3 linked regions of the Schizosaccharomyces pombe genome follow. The gene in region 2 interacts genetically with the main gene of each other region. Each region holds a gene or a part of one and is shown on either strand. Other genes may lie near its edges.

Evidence for each region.
Region 1: mutations in guf1 (region 2) and pca1 together harm fitness more than expected from each alone (negative genetic interaction), as found in Schizosaccharomyces pombe (one large-scale study listed by BioGRID).
Region 3: mutations in guf1 (region 2) and jmj2 together harm fitness less than expected from each alone (positive genetic interaction), as found in Schizosaccharomyces pombe (one large-scale study listed by BioGRID).

Annotation. Positions count from the first base shown.
Region 1 is NC_003421.2:2,262,079-2,267,914, forward strand, and holds pca1 (metacaspase Pca1), read left to right. Parts: upstream 1-1,888; coding exon 1,889-2,342; exon of another isoform or gene 2,343-2,388; coding exon 2,389-2,448; exon of another isoform or gene 2,449-2,489; coding exon 2,490-2,587; exon of another isoform or gene 2,588-2,614; intron 2,615-2,633; coding exon 2,634-2,657; intron 2,658-2,697; coding exon 2,698-2,866; intron 2,867-2,905; coding exon 2,906-3,378; 3' UTR 3,379-3,579; coding exon of another isoform or gene 3,580-5,192; 3' UTR 5,193-5,227; downstream 5,228-5,836. Other genes in the region: karyopherin/importin beta family nuclear import signal receptor Sal3, read left to right, coding at 1-1,491; pgm2 (phosphoglucomutase), read right to left, coding at 3,580-5,192, 5,630-5,729, 5,792-5,836. UniProt on the Schizosaccharomyces pombe protein: Involved in cell death (apoptosis).
Region 2 is NC_003424.3:4,930,619-4,935,431, forward strand, and holds guf1 (GTPase GUF1), read right to left. Parts: upstream 3,085-4,813; 5' UTR 2,893-3,084; coding exon 2,398-2,892; exon of another isoform or gene 2,310-2,397; coding exon 885-2,309; exon of another isoform or gene 734-884; coding exon 695-733; 3' UTR 640-694; downstream 1-639. Other genes in the region: cyclophilin family peptidyl-prolyl cis-trans isomerase Wis2, read right to left, coding at 1-397; not3 (CCR4-Not complex subunit Not3/5), read left to right, coding at 4,045-4,066, 4,113-4,150, 4,213-4,407, 4,464-4,813. UniProt on the Schizosaccharomyces pombe protein: Promotes mitochondrial protein synthesis. May act as a fidelity factor of the translation reaction, by catalyzing a one-codon backward translocation of tRNAs on improperly translocated ribosomes. Binds to mitochondrial ribosomes in a GTP-dependent manner.
Region 3 is NC_003424.3:1,803,995-1,808,524, forward strand, and holds jmj2 (histone demethylase Jmj2), read right to left. Parts: upstream 2,804-4,530; coding exon 656-2,803; 3' UTR 554-655; downstream 1-553. Other genes in the region: transcription factor TFIID complex subunit Taf11, read right to left, coding at 1-378; bouquet formation protein Bqt2, read right to left, coding at 3,276-3,408, 3,489-3,648, 3,724-3,787; SPOM_SPAC1002.07C (N-acetyltransferase Ats1), read right to left, coding at 4,248-4,382, 4,434-4,530.

The sequences.
Region 1 (5,836 bases), on a different chromosome or scaffold from region 2:
GATCCTCAAGCTAGTTATCTCATCTCTGCCTGGGGAAGAATTTGCCGTGTTTTAGGAAGCGATTTTGTCCCATTTTTGAGTTCAGTTATGCCTCCTCTGTTGGTTGCTGCTACCTCGAAACCTGACTTCACAATTATAGACGACGAGGTTGATGAAAGCAAATATTCTGAACAAGATGGTTGGGAGTTCATTCCCGTTCATGGTCAACAGGTTGGTATTAGGACTAGTACGTTAGAAGACAAGTGTACTGCCACCGAAATGCTTGTCTGCTATGCTGCTGAGTTAAAAGCTGACTTTGATCCTTACGTCAATGAAGTTTTGACATCTGTTGTACTTCCAGGATTGAAGTTCTTCTTTCACGACGGGGTTCGTTCTGCTTGTTGTAAGTGTATTCCTCAGTTATTGAACGCTCGGATTTTAGCTAGCAATCGTGATCCAGCTAAAGTCAATGAGCTTTGGGAGCCTATTTTACGAAAGCTGTTGGATCATATACAAAATGAACCAAGCGTGGAAATGCTTGCCGACTATTTTGAATGTTTCTATCAAAGTTTGGAAATCAGCGGCTTGAATCTGAGTCCTTCTTCGATGGAAGCACTCGTTGCTGCCGTTGATTTGCAGCTCAAAGGATTCATTTCTCGCGTGCAGCAGCGTGAGGAGGAGGCTAAAAATGGTGACATAGATATTGAAGAAGATGAGGACATGATTCTTGCAGTCGAAAATGATCAAAACTTGTTAAACGAAATAAACAAGACTTTTAGTGTTGTATTAAAAATTCACAAAACTGCTTTCTGCCCTTTTTGGGAAAGGCTACTACCGTACATGGATGGCTTTTTGTCTGGAAACGACACTGTAGCTAAGCAATGGGCTCTATGCATGATGGATGACTTAATTGAATTTACTGGACCCGATTCTTGGAACTACAAGGATCACTTTTTGCCTTACTTAGCTGAAGGTATTCAAAGTAGCGAACCAGAAATTCGACAAGCTGCCTCGTACGGTATTGGAGTAGCCGCTCAGCATGGAGGAGAGTTGTATGCTGAAATCTGCTCTAGTGCTTTGCCCGCATTGTTTAAGATGCTCGAGCTTCCTGATGCCCGTGATGAAGAACAAATTTATGCCACAGAAAATATTTGTGTTGCGATATGCAAAATTTGCCGCTTTTGTAGCCAACGTGTTCAGGATCTTGACAAAGTTGTAACGTATTGGATTAATACACTTCCTGTAACACATGATGAAGATGACGCTCCTTATGCTTACACTTTCCTTGCGGAATTGATGGAACAAAATCACGTGGCCGTTGCCTCACAAATGCCAACGATTATTACGATTTTAGCAGAAACATTTGCATCTGGAGTTTTACGTGGAAGAACTTTGACACGTTTGATGGAAGCTTCGAAGGTTTACTTAGCTCGTTTCCCTGCTGATCAAGTTAATTCTGTCATTGCCACTTTGAGTGTCGATAATCAGAGAGCTTTGTCTGCACATTTTTAAATTTCATTTCTTTCACTCTAAGTCTTTCAATATTTTCTTTGGTTCCTCAAAATGCTTTAGTTAGTTTAGGTTAGGTTAGGTTTTTATTTAATCCATCAACAATCTTCGGATTTTGTTTCACTCTTTTTAGACTATGCCGGCTAGGTTTTCACTTATTGCTTTATACATTACTTGATTTTTCATCGTATTAAATTATTTCTTCGTGTAGCAGCTCTTTCGTGTATAATACGTTTTGATGTGTGGTATGATTATAATATATTGCTCGCATCTTTTGCAATTAATTTTTTTTTTAAATGTATATACTGTAGTCAAATTGATTTTGCTTTAGTTATAACCTGTGAGATCTGGTATTTTATTGAAAGTAGCATAGTTAAGCACTATCCAACTTCCCATCAACATGAGCTACAACTCCAATCCTTATAACGGTGGGCAATATCCACCATATAATACATATACTAGACCTAATTATTCACCAAATAATGGTTCTCAAAGTAATAACACTGTACATCAATATCAGCCTCCACGTATGCCACCCCCTTCCACAAGGCCTCAGACAGACGGCAATTCTAATCAAATCCCTATGGAGAATGTTGGTCATATAAGTTTGAGCTCTGCAAACTCCCATGCTTATGCCCCACCCTCAGGTCCGCCTCCGAATACTGGTGCTAATTCTTATGGCAACCCAAATTATAGTGGGCCTCAGCTGCCAAACACTCAGACTCAATCTTATAACTTAGCAGGAGGAGGAAACTTTCAGTATCAGTATTCAACTTGCCAAGGGAAGCGAAAGGCTTTGCTGATCGGAATTAACTATCTCAATACCCAAAATGAGTTGCAAGGTTGCATTAATGGTACGGAATGCGAAAGGTCAAGTAAACATATATTAACTTGTTTAAGATGTCATGTCTATGTCCCAACTGCTGATACAGCGCTACGGTTACAAGCAAGAAGATATGGGTATGGTTGATTACGAGAACATCTTGCTAAAACTTTTTTAGTTATTATGACAGACACGGCAAGCAACCAAAGGGCAATTCCCACTCGTCAAAATATGTTAGATGCGATGAGATGGTTAGTAAGTGATGCCCAACCTAATGTAAGTTATATGTCATGGGATTTACTTCCTAATGCTAACTATTTAGGATGCATTATTTTTTCACTATAGTGTAAGAATCATCACTTTACATCTCATACTCACATGCATAGGGCCACGGAGGGCAAACAAAAGACCTTGATGGAGACGAAGTTGATGGTTATGATGAAACGATATATCCACTGGACCATCAATATGCCGGGCAAATTATAGATGATGAAATGCACGAAATAATGGTTAAGCCTTTACCAGCAGGATGTCGTTTAACAGCTCTCTTTGACTGTAAGTCAGTGATTTTAATCTATTTTTAACAAAATATAGCTTGTCATTCAGGTGGAGCTCTCGATCTTCCTTTCACGTACTCTACCAAGGGCGTTCTAAAGGAGCCAAATATGTTAAAAGAATCTGGTATGGATGTACTTCATGCTGGCCTTTCTTATGCCTCTGGCGACATTATGGGAGCTATCAACAACGTGAAAAATATATTTACCAGTGCTACCAATGGATTTAATAACAACGCTCTACAGTACTCTAGACAAGTTAAGTTTTCTCCTGCTGATGTTATTTCTTTATCCGGATGCAAAGATAATCAAACAAGCGCAGATACAAGTGTTAATGGATTCGCTACTGGTGCTTTATCATACGCCTTCCGTGAAGTCGTCACTCAAAATCCCCAACTTAGCTACTTGCAGTTGCTGAGAGGTATTCGACAAGTACTTTCCAACAAATACTCACAACTGCCCCAATTAAGTTGTAGTCATCCTTTAGACATGAATCTTGCCATGGTTTTATAGTACACTAAACATTACTTGATCATTGAAGTTCTATATTTTTGTAGTTCCATCAGATATTTAAGGAATTTTCAATTAAGGATAAAATTTAAATCACAACAACTCAGGAAATCATATCTAATACTTTATTGAAATATTTTTGTTTGCAATTTATAATTTTGCTTAAAAAACGAGCTCAAATTAAAATTATACACGCGAGAAAACTCATGGCTCTTCCAGTCCGTTCTGTTGGGGATGAAACCATTCAGATTTGATAGCCTGTTTAACTTCTGTAGCATTCTTTATGGAATCTTCAAGCGAATGTCCGCGAGCACAGATATAAAACTTAAGTTTCGGCTCTGTACCACTTGTGCGAATAGTCATAATTACCTCTCCATTTTCAAGCTCAAACGTTACGTTATCTGAACTTTTTGAAACTGGTAAAGTAGCTTTACCATCCGTGGAGCTTGAGTCGTAACCTGTAGTAAGGTCGCGAACATTTGTAATTTTCTTACTACCAAGGGTTGCCGGATAACCCGATTTTGTGTCATAATGTCTCAAGGCATCAACCAAAGCACGAAGCTTGGGAGTGTCGCGTGAAAGGAAATATGAGTTTTGCGTAGTGTAATAACCATATTTTTTAGACATTTGCTCAAAAACCTCGGTAATTGAAAGATTCTGAAGTTGAAGGCGTTTCAAAAGATGAAGGAACGTAATCAAAGCATTAACCCCGTCTTTGTCTCTAACTATACTACCTACCATATAACCAAGAGCTTCTTCATATGCCAATCCAATAAATTTCCCTTGTTTTTCCAATTCTAATGCTTTATTGCCTAACCACTTAAATCCAGTAAGTGTTTCAACATGATGGAATCCTTCTACTTTGGCCATGGACTTTACCATAGCACTAGAGACAGTAGTTGACAAAACGTAAAAATCATCAATTGGCTTTCCAACGTTTTTGTATTCTTGAAATATAAAATAGGCAAGGATACAACCAACTTCATCTCCGGTAAATCTTCTCCAAGCACCATTAATTTTTTCTGCAAAGGCGAAACGATCTGCGTCAGGATCAGTTGCAAGGACATACGAAATACCATTAGCATCAGCTTGCTCGTAAGCCAAATCCAATGCCCCCTCCTCTTCTGGATTTGGAAATTTCACAGTCGGAAAGTCAGGGTTTGGAGAATCTTGAAGAGGTACAGAAATCATATCGCCTTGTTCGCCAAATAAGTGTAATGCTGAAGTAACAAATGGTAATCCAACGCCATGAATAGGAGTGTAAACAAATTTCAAAGATTTCATTTCCAAGGAAAAGTTGTTTTCGGAATGGAATTCGTGGAGCTGAGACCAATAGTTTTTTAAAAGACCAACTGCAAAATCCCGATCTGCTAGTTTATGATTTTCAACCAAATTTTTGTCCCAAGTAATGGGCGTTAAGTTTTTTTCTATACATGCAGCAATTCCCTTGTCATGGGGAGGAATGATAGCACAACCGTTTCCCCAATAGACCTTGTATCCGTTATAAGCTGCGGGATTATGGGAAGCAGTAATCATAACACCAGCTGCAGTCCCTAGGGTTTTAACGGCAAAAGGGACTAAAGGGGTATGGACAAGATGATCGAAGAAATACGTTTTGAATCCTTTTTGCAAGAACACTGCAGCAGTAAGTCGAGCAAAAGTATTAGACTTATGCCTATGATCGTGTCCAATTACCACACCCAGCTTTGCAGCTGATGGTACGGTTTGAAGCAAATACTCAGCGAAGCCTTGTGAGGCTTGAATCACGGTCAAACAGTTCATGCGAGCGAAGCCAGCACCAATTTCAGCTCTCAAACCTTTGTAAACATTAGTAAATGAATAAACGAACTTGATAATGTTAAAACATTAAGATGTATAGAGAGAACAATCGCAAGCTGAAAATCTAATTACACTTAAACCAATTTCGTACAAGCACGTTATATAACATTCCAAGCAAAAAAGACCAAAACAGATAGAAAAGAAGAAGAAGAACGAAAAACTCTTTCTGAAATATGACCAATATGATCATCACAATAAATTAGTATACGCAGTAAGGAAAGTGACCGATGATCAAGTATATCACTTCGACTCTAATCAAGGAAAACACAATAAAGTAGTTTAAGCTACCGGCTGTAGCACTGAGAATTCTTTATTAAGAAAGAGGCATTATTTAGCGTTCTCTTTCAATCCACTTCAACTTGCGAAATATCTCTTAACAATCTCAATTTTTTCTTCTTTTGTAATAAAAACATACCAGATGTACCAAATCCAATCCTTGGATGCATAATTTGCTTGAGGGTGGCATAATCTTCAGCCTTAATCAATTGTGAAACTTCATTCCTCGTAGTTTCATCCTAATGCGTTCAATCTGTTAGTTCCACAGTACTTCCATAGTAAATATAGTCCTAATACTTACTTGATCTAATTTGAACCACTCATCTACTAATTCTTGCAAAATCGG
Region 2 (4,813 bases):
CAAAAACAACATGCTTTCCATCCAAATGAGGGGTGGGAACAGTAGTAATGAAGAACTGAGATCCATTGGTATTAGGGCCGGCATTGGCCATGGAAAGCAAGAAAGGCTTATCATGCTTGAGCTCAAAGTTCTCGTCCTCAAACTTCTCGCCGTAGATGCTTTCTCCACCCGTTCCATTACCACGAGTAAAGTCACCACCTTGAAGCATAAAGTTCTTAATTACTCGATGGAACCTTGAACCTTTGTAGGTTAAACAACGGCCATCCTTCTCAAACCCATTACACAACGAAGCAAAGTTTTTGACAGTTTTGGGAACTACGTTGTCGAAAAGTTCAAAGTAGATTGTTGGTTGAATTTTACCATCAATGCTAATTTTAAAATAGGCGTAAGTACTCATTTCGTGCAAAAAAAAACAATGATCGTTTTTAAGTAATGATATTTCACTGCCAGTCTCCTCAGTGTATTCACACCACAAAGTTGCTTTAAGAAGAAGAATGAATAGCGATTTTACGCAGACGAAATATACAGATCTGTGCAAACTATTTAGTTTTAGTTATTAAAAAGGTGGTGATTTATATTTGCAACCTACTGCGAAGAGATTTTCTACGAAACTTCTAGAAACATACTGTATTAAAAAAATGCTAGCAGAAGAAAATTTGACTTTTTATTAGACCAAAAAATATTTATACTTTTTTCAATTAGATTGCTTCTTCGTTAAAAATTCATAAAATACCTGATTTAAGTTAGCACACACGGACTATAAAGAAATATAAGTGCTGTTGAGTGAAGTCAACAATGTATTTAAATTTTAAAACACAAAATTGTGTTTCCTAATAGTTTTAAAACATATTTCGATGAAGTCTTCAGGCAATGTAATTACTTACCGATTTGTCAATTGAAACATTTCCAACTGACTTCAATCTCTTTTTCCCTTCCTTTTGCTTATTAAGTAGCTTTTGCTTCCTTGTTACATCTCCCCCGTAGCATTTTGCTGTGACATTTTTTCGAAGAGCCGAGATAGACTCCCTGGCGACTACTCGGTTGTCGATGACAGCTTGAAGTATTACTTCATATAGTTGTTTAGGAACTAACGGCTTCAACCGTTGAATCCATTCACGGCCTCGCTGAAGTGCAAGCGAGCGATGCACTATAGAACAAAGAGCATCTACAGATTTTCCACTCATAAAAATTGATAGTCGCACCAAATCAGCAGGAACGTAATCCGATTCTTCATAATCTAAGGTAGCGAAACCACTTGTTGTCCCTTTTAATCGACCAAAGAAATCTTCAACCAGGTGAGCAAGAGGTAATTGATATTTTATCATGCATCGCGATTCGGACATATAAGTGCAGTCCTTTTGGAGTCCTCGACAAGATTCACACAACTTGATAACATCTCCTAGGTACTCGCTCGGTGTTATAATTGTTGCATCGACGGTGGGCTCTAAAAGCTCAGATATACCTTGATGATTTGTTGGAAATAGATTAGGATTCGATATTACTTCTTCCCTTCCATTTTTATATTTTATGCGATACGGTACTGTGGGAGAAGTGATTAATAATTCCTTTCCATATTCATCCTTTAATCTGTCAATAAAGACAGAAAGATGCAACGTTCCAAGAAAACCTAAACGCCATCCCATCCCAAGAGCAGACGAGTTTTCTTTTTGTACATTAATAGCACGATCATTAAGGGCCAATTGTTCGATGTTATCATTTAGTCTCTCGTAATCCGAGCCATCCAAAGGAAAGGCGCCAACATAAACCATTGATTGGGGAATAGAGAAACCAGGTAATGCTTCAACATTAGATCCGATGGTTGAATATGTATCCCCGACAATTGCTTCATCAATATTTTTCATATTCCAGATAATATAACCAACTTGTCCTGCTCGAAGACGCGAAACTTCGGTCATGTCAGGATACATAATTCCAACTTGTTGTACTTCATACTTTCTACCTGTGTTTACACTCATCACCTTTCCTCCTTTTTTTATAAAGCCCTCCATAATTCGCACCAATCCTATAACTCCCTGGTAGCTATTGTACCAACTGTCTATCAACAGGCAGCGTAACGGAGCATTTTCTGACCCCTTGGGAGGAGGAATTTTTTGTATGATTTCCGGTAGAATTTGTTCGACATTTTTTCCCGTTTTAGAAGAGACTAGGATGGGCTTGGACATAGGGATATCAAAAGTTTGCTGAACTTGAATCAAAGTTCTATCCACATCCGCAGTTGGCAAATCAACCTTGTTCAGAACTGGAATTATGACCAAGTTTTGGGAAAATGCCATATAAAAATTTGACAACTAAATAATACGTTAGCTTAGAGTTAATATATTGATACCTAGGTTATTTGATGTTGCTTTGCTCATCATCGAACCTCATATTTCATACAGTTTGTGCTTGTATGCCTTGAGAGGCATCAACTAATAAGATACATCCTTCACAAGCGGCCAAACTATGCATGACTTCGGCACGAAAGTCAACATGCCCGGGCGTATCGATTAAATTTAGTAAATATGATTGTCCATGATAATAGTAAATCATGCTGCAGGTCTGCGCCTTAACTGTTATTCCTCTTCGCCTTTCTACTTCCAACTTATCCAAAAATTGATTTCTAAAGTTATGTTCATTAATGACACCGGTGAGTTTTAGTATGCAGTCACTCAGCGTTGATTTCCCATGGTCGATATGAGCAATCACAGCCCAGTTTCGAACTCTATTTTGTGGAATTCCTCTAACAACTTCTTGAATGGAAGGCTTGTTATCCTCGGATGCTAGCTTTCTTGAGGCATAAGAAACAGAGAAGAAGCGCCATCTTATTTTGAACGATGAACTCTTTAAACAAGTCTCTAAACTAAATGTTCTAGAGAGCCTAAAAATACTCATGAACACCAAAAAAATCTTTGTTCAAGGTTATTCAATAAAGTATACGTTAAATTCATTAACTAATTACAATAGCATAAATTCAGGCACCTAGATGAGCTAACCCTTTTTTAAATGTTTATACGGAATAAAAAAATAAATAAACCTCAGTAGGTAGATGGTCCAAGTTGCAAATACGAGGGCTGCTCAATTGCTAACTTTTTTTATACTGAGTGAACTCAAGATAAAGAAAAAAAATGGAAGACGAGAATCGCAAAAATACTAGATATAGCTCAAAAGAGGGGCAAATTAAAAAAATTCAGAAAAAATTTTATGTCTTAAAACTATTCTATTCAATAAATGCAGAATGATTCTTAATTGTTTCTATAATATTTACCCTTAAAATCAGCTTGTCAAACATTTGTAAAAAAAAGGAAAAATGAAGAAAAGTTGATAGAAAGAGACTTAATTCTGTAATTTTAAAAGTTGACACTACACTTTGGTTTGTGAGTTACTTTTGCAGCGAAAAGAGTCAATTCATACAATCGGAACTACTGTCAGAAAAGAAATTGAAAAAATTTGAGCCTTCAATACTCTATACTGAAAAATAAAATCTTGGTTAGTTGATTTCACATCCATAAACGCTTTTCAACTGGCTGAAATCAAATATAAACATAACCATTAATACACCAGTTTTGAAGCTGTTTCAACCTCAAAAAGTACCAATTGACATTGTTAAAAATTTCTTTACTTTGTAAGAATTGACAGTGCTTGCTTTGAAGAATTAACATGGAATATTTCGAGTGGTACCTATATATATATATATATATATTCACAATTATTAGTTAGAACTATCGCTTGAATTTTGATGTAGATTTTAAACTCAGCAATAAGATGATGATAAAAGTAATTCAAATAAAAGAAATGATTGTAAACTATTATTTTCTTTCAAATACTACCATCCTCATATCCCTACATACATTGTGAAACTGTTACCTCCTTCTTTGTCACCCACATAATAGCACTCGTGCAACCGGCACACCTTAGCTTTAATAACTTAGGAGAGATCTTTGGTAACAAGACTACTTTTACCAACTCCAACAAAGTTGGGTTACATGAGTATAAACATTAGGTGGTTGTAATTTACCTGAATTTTGGGAAGTATAATTAGTCAAAATGTCGGCGCGAAAGTTGCAAGGTAAAGAAGATGATATGTCACGAAAATTTGACATTAACTGGTTTAGTGGAAATTGAGAAGACCTTTAAAAAAGTGACTGATGGGGTAATGAATTCGGCAATAAATTGCTTTTAATTATGATTGCATTTTACTTACATTTGGAAAAGATTGCGATTTTTGACGAGGTTTACGAAAAGCTAAGCGCCAGTAATAGCGTCTCTCAAAAAGAGAAACTAGAGGGTGATTTGAAGACTCAAATTAAAAAACTACAACGTCTTCGTGACCAGATTAAGACTTGGGCTAGCAGCAATGATATCAAAGATAAAAAGGCCTTGTTAGAGAACAGGCGGCTTATTGAAGCTGTATGTACTGTAATTAGATGCAAACAAGCTCTTTAACTAACATATCTATGCATTAGAAAATGGAGGAATTTAAAGCTGTTGAGCGAGAGATGAAGATAAAAGCTTTCAGTAAAGAGGGCCTTAGCATCGCTTCCAAGTTGGATCCTAAGGAAAAAGAAAAGCAAGATACTATTCAGTGGATTTCCAATGCTGTAGAAGAACTAGAACGGCAAGCAGAATTGATCGAAGCAGAGGCGGAAAGTTTAAAAGCTACATTTAAAAGAGGTAAAAAAGATTTATCTAAACTTTCGCACTTGTCAGAATTGGAATCTCGAATTGAGCGACACAAATGGCATCAAGACAAACTCGAACTTATCATGAGGAGACTGGAAAACTCCCAAATTTCTCCAGAGGCCGTGAATGATAT
Region 3 (4,530 bases), 3.1 Mb from region 2:
GTTAGCCAATTTTTTAACATTGGTTTTATTTAAGTTAGCACGACGAAACACTTCGTATCTTTGCATTTGCTCTTCATCAAAACTCTCTAGAAGATATTTTGTGCGCAATTTTTCATTAGCTTCGTCGTCCGTTTCACCAGGTTTTCCAGCAACTTTTGAAATAGCAGCTGTACCAAAGTCATCCCTATCGTCTTCTTCCAGATCATTTTCTTCTTGCCGATTCCAATTCTCTTTTTCTTTTGATGAGGGAGCAGGCTCAGCAGCAGGCGATGCCGTATTTGCCTTTGCATGAGCTCCTGCTGTAGGAGAATTAGATTGATCGTAGCTCATCGATCGCTGAAATCGAGGTACTGAACTCGCAGAACCAGTTCGTTTCATATTTATCCCTTCTATCTTCAAAAAACTGAAGAGCTCTAAATGTTTAAAAATTGGGTTTGATTTTGTTATGCAAAGTGAGAATGTACAAGAAGTAAATTTCACAGGTTGGAAACTGCTTCATACATAAGCAAGTACACTACGCTTCCTTAAACGTACAATACTATGATTATAGTCAAATTGTTTACATTACATGAATCCAACGATGTTTGTAAATGACCTTGAAAATATAGGTTTATAAATTGCAAAATAATTGTTTTAGAAAAGAATAAATGTAACTTTAATAACTTAGCAACTTCTGTAACTCATTATCGTCGACTTTTAGGCGTAAGGTCTTATTGCTTAAATCGCACTTGCAAAGATATTCGATGTGTAATGGACATACAGTAATCGACTTGCAAGAACAAGCAACTTGAGAGAAGTATGAAAATGCTTTGCAATGCTGGCATTGCCAATTTTCGGCATCCTCCATTAATTCACGATAAAGTATTTCCTTTAAATCATAGCGTCCTCGTATCATGATACGTATACCTAATTCACGTTTGACAGCCTCATGCACCCAAGGCCTTAGCTCAGACACACTTATCTCTGACGCCGGATTTGTCGCTAAATTGTAAACCAACATATCATGTGAAAGTACAGGAGGTTTAAGAAGTGACTGATATTTCAAAACGCCATTCAAAGAGAATCCGTTTAGTAACCAATCTTTGGGAGCAAAATTCACTGCCTCATTAATGTTAAACCCATGATTAATTCCTGCGTGAAAGCTTTTTGGAAAGGTAATCACGAATTCATTAGGCCCCTGGTCGATGAAATAAACATCGACACCTCTTTTTTGTAGCTCATCAGGGTTGATCATTGTAGCTAATTGGTAAAGCAGATCTTTTTGTTTTTTTACCAAATCAGGAGCAATATCAAGAGCGGCGCGTTCAAACCTCTCGGCTTGATCACCTGGAATTCCATACCATAATTTTGTGTCTCCATAATGTTGATAATTTACGGAATAAGTATAGTTATCCTCGACATGCCAACAAAAAGTTGAAAAACACATTCCAACGTACAGCCACGGACAGGTTATACCTGAAACAGGATTATCTATATAGCTTAATAGAGAACCATTTGTGGATGCTATAACATTTAAATTCCATGTGTCCTTAGAGTAAGGATTCACTGGATTTTTGGCTAAACTAGGGAAGGCGCTGCCCTGATCAAGGGTTGATAAATCTGCACCGTATTCCACTTCAAGGCTTGTATTATTGTCTTTTACGAGTTTCCAATACTCTTTTTCAACAATATCCTCAGTTATCTCCGAGTCTTTAAATTTAGAAAAATAATTTTTCTTAAAATTGTCACAGTATTTTTCAAAGTTCGATAAAGTATAATAATTCCCTGTTTCAAACCCAAACTCATATGGATTAATTATACATTTAGTACAATACGCTTCTTTACACGTATCTTCGACTTCACAATTGACAGGTTTGTGACAATTGTCACATAAGTGGTTGTTATTCGTTGACAGAGAGCTCAATCGTCGCTTTTTATTATGTGAGTGATTATCATTTGATCCAAAATTATCGGCTGGCATATATTGTTGTTTAATCTGCTCATTTCTCTTGGATTCTTGGTTTTGAAGAATTCCTACGGACTCATTAGTTTCGGGGTTAAATTGTTTAGATGTCTTCTGATCTTTAATACTAATATTAGAATGTTCGTCTTTTGTAAAAAATTTAGGGAAGAGATCAGTTTCAAAGCATTGATCCTCAGAGGTCTGATATTTTCTGACGAAATCCTCAAATGGAAAAATATACCTTAAATACAAGTCACTTGCTTCCTTTAATGATGCATTAGTAAAAGGAATTGAAAGTTCTCGTAAAATCCTTTTCCATACATGAACTTTTAATTCCTTCTCACTTAGAGATGCATGAGAATCAATACAACGCATTAAGCTGTATAAGTCGATAGACGTATTGGAAATAAAAAATGATTCCGGGAGCTCCATGCCCAGATTGCAAAAAAAACGGTAAACGCGTTCATCGTAAGAGACTATTTCACGAAATCGAAGATCCATCATATGCAAATCCTGCCGCCGAGTACGGAAGGAAAACTTGTTCATGTCAAGTTGCATCGGTGGATTCCAACCAGCAGGAGGAACGATTTTTATGATACCATATTTTTCACCGATTGGAGCTATCTTATTAATATAACCGATAGAGTCCTGAAATTCCTCTTTATCAGGATAAAAAACGGGAGCAACTGGAAGTCCATGAATGGATTTGGAACGCTGTTTTCTTTGTCCGGTATTTTTTGACATAGAGGATAAGTTATTTCCCCGCGTATTCATCCCATGAGGTGCAGGTTTTAGTTTATCTGTAGCATGAGTGTATTGTACAAAAGATGGGGAAGTTTGATGAAAAGTAGACTTGCTCATGTTTCCTATGCAAATAAGTAGATAAATTAGTCCGAATGGTGAGCGATTCCAGAAAAAAAAAGTTATTATAAAAAGAATTAAAAAATAGAGAATAAAAAAGAAACGAAACGTAAATGAGAAATAATAAATGGAAACAACAGTTTTTAAACTCGGACTTAGATGAAGTAAGTTTTTTATGTTTATGCAATGTATACTTGTTCAATTGTCCATTGAAAAGACGTAAGTGTCTTTATGGGATATAAATAAAGAAATTAGGTAAAATTCGAAAATAATCTTAGGCTAATAGCATAAATAGGCATTAAATTAATATTCGTAACGTATGGTTAAGTGAAGGTTGTGACAACTTCAGTTGACGATTTTGAGAGCTAAAGGAACGATCATTAAATTATAAAGGATAGAAAAAGGAAAGGTATTTTTCACAATTAGCATAGAATTTACAATCGGAACAACGCCATATCAGCACCAAAGCATTTCAAGGTAATTCACCGTTTAGAAAAGAAAGCGTGGATGGCAGAGGCTGTAGATACACTGAACGTATTCTGTGATCAACATATAAAGGTTCCATCACGTTCAAATGAATGACAGGTTCAGAAACGTAACTTTTGCTAATAATGGTGGTTAGTACTTGCCTTGGTAAATGATAAGATAAACTATCAATGCAATATTTAGTAAATTTAATAAATACCTTCTGGAAACAGCTACTTGCTCCGCAATCCACCAAGGAGAACGACATTGAACTGATTTGTAATTTGGCAAGCGGACGTGCTTTCTTAGATGCATTGAAAATGCATAATCAAAATTTTCATAACCTTCTGCTAAAAATTTCGCTTCTCCGTTGTGTAATTCTATCTTTAGTAAGAACAACTGAACCATAAATCATTCGACAACAAACAAGTGCACATCAAACCTTTAAAACTTACGCCATAAAGCAATTAATGCAGAAGGTACGGTTTCATCAAAAAAGGCGCACTTTCCTTGAAACATTGACAGGCAAACTGTTGTAGGTAGTTGGTTTGTTTACAATTGCGCGCGACGCGTTTCGAAAAAGAAACACAATAAAAGATATTCAAGAATACTAACCAATACTTTCTTTCTATTTTTTAATACACAATAAGAAGCCGATTTGATGAATTGAAAGGAAAACGATCAAATTAGTTTTATAGGAATTAACATTAGAACAATATACCAGTTCTAATAATTTACTTTGCAAAAAAAAGGATTCTTTATTTTTTAATTTTAAAAAATGTAAGATGTAAATTGATATCGTATTTTTTGGTAAACGGGAAATAACCTAAAGACATTGAAATGACCGCTTTAAAACGAAACTACAAGATCCAGGATCTTTCAATCATAAAAAATTAATTTTCCTCTTTCCAGTTCAAGGTTTCAAAGGTATAACATATCATGCTTCAATTTTTTAGAGCGTTAAGTATTGGGTATGAGTTTAAAAGTTGCCGGGAAGTTTATCAGCAAGAGCCTTTAGGTTCTCGCCGGTGACTCTCATCATACTCCATCCTCCAACTTTTTGTGCTCCAGCCTTTTCATAGACTTCAATGGCTCTCTGGTTCCAATCAAGGACCTAGGGTATTAGTCAAGGTATAAAAAAAGAAATGGGTTATAAACAACTTACAACCCAGTCAAGACGTCTGCCACCAATTCTAAGTGATTCTCGTGCTAAATAAGACAGTAAGTAGCTTCCATATCCTTTTCCACGGAATTGGGGTCGA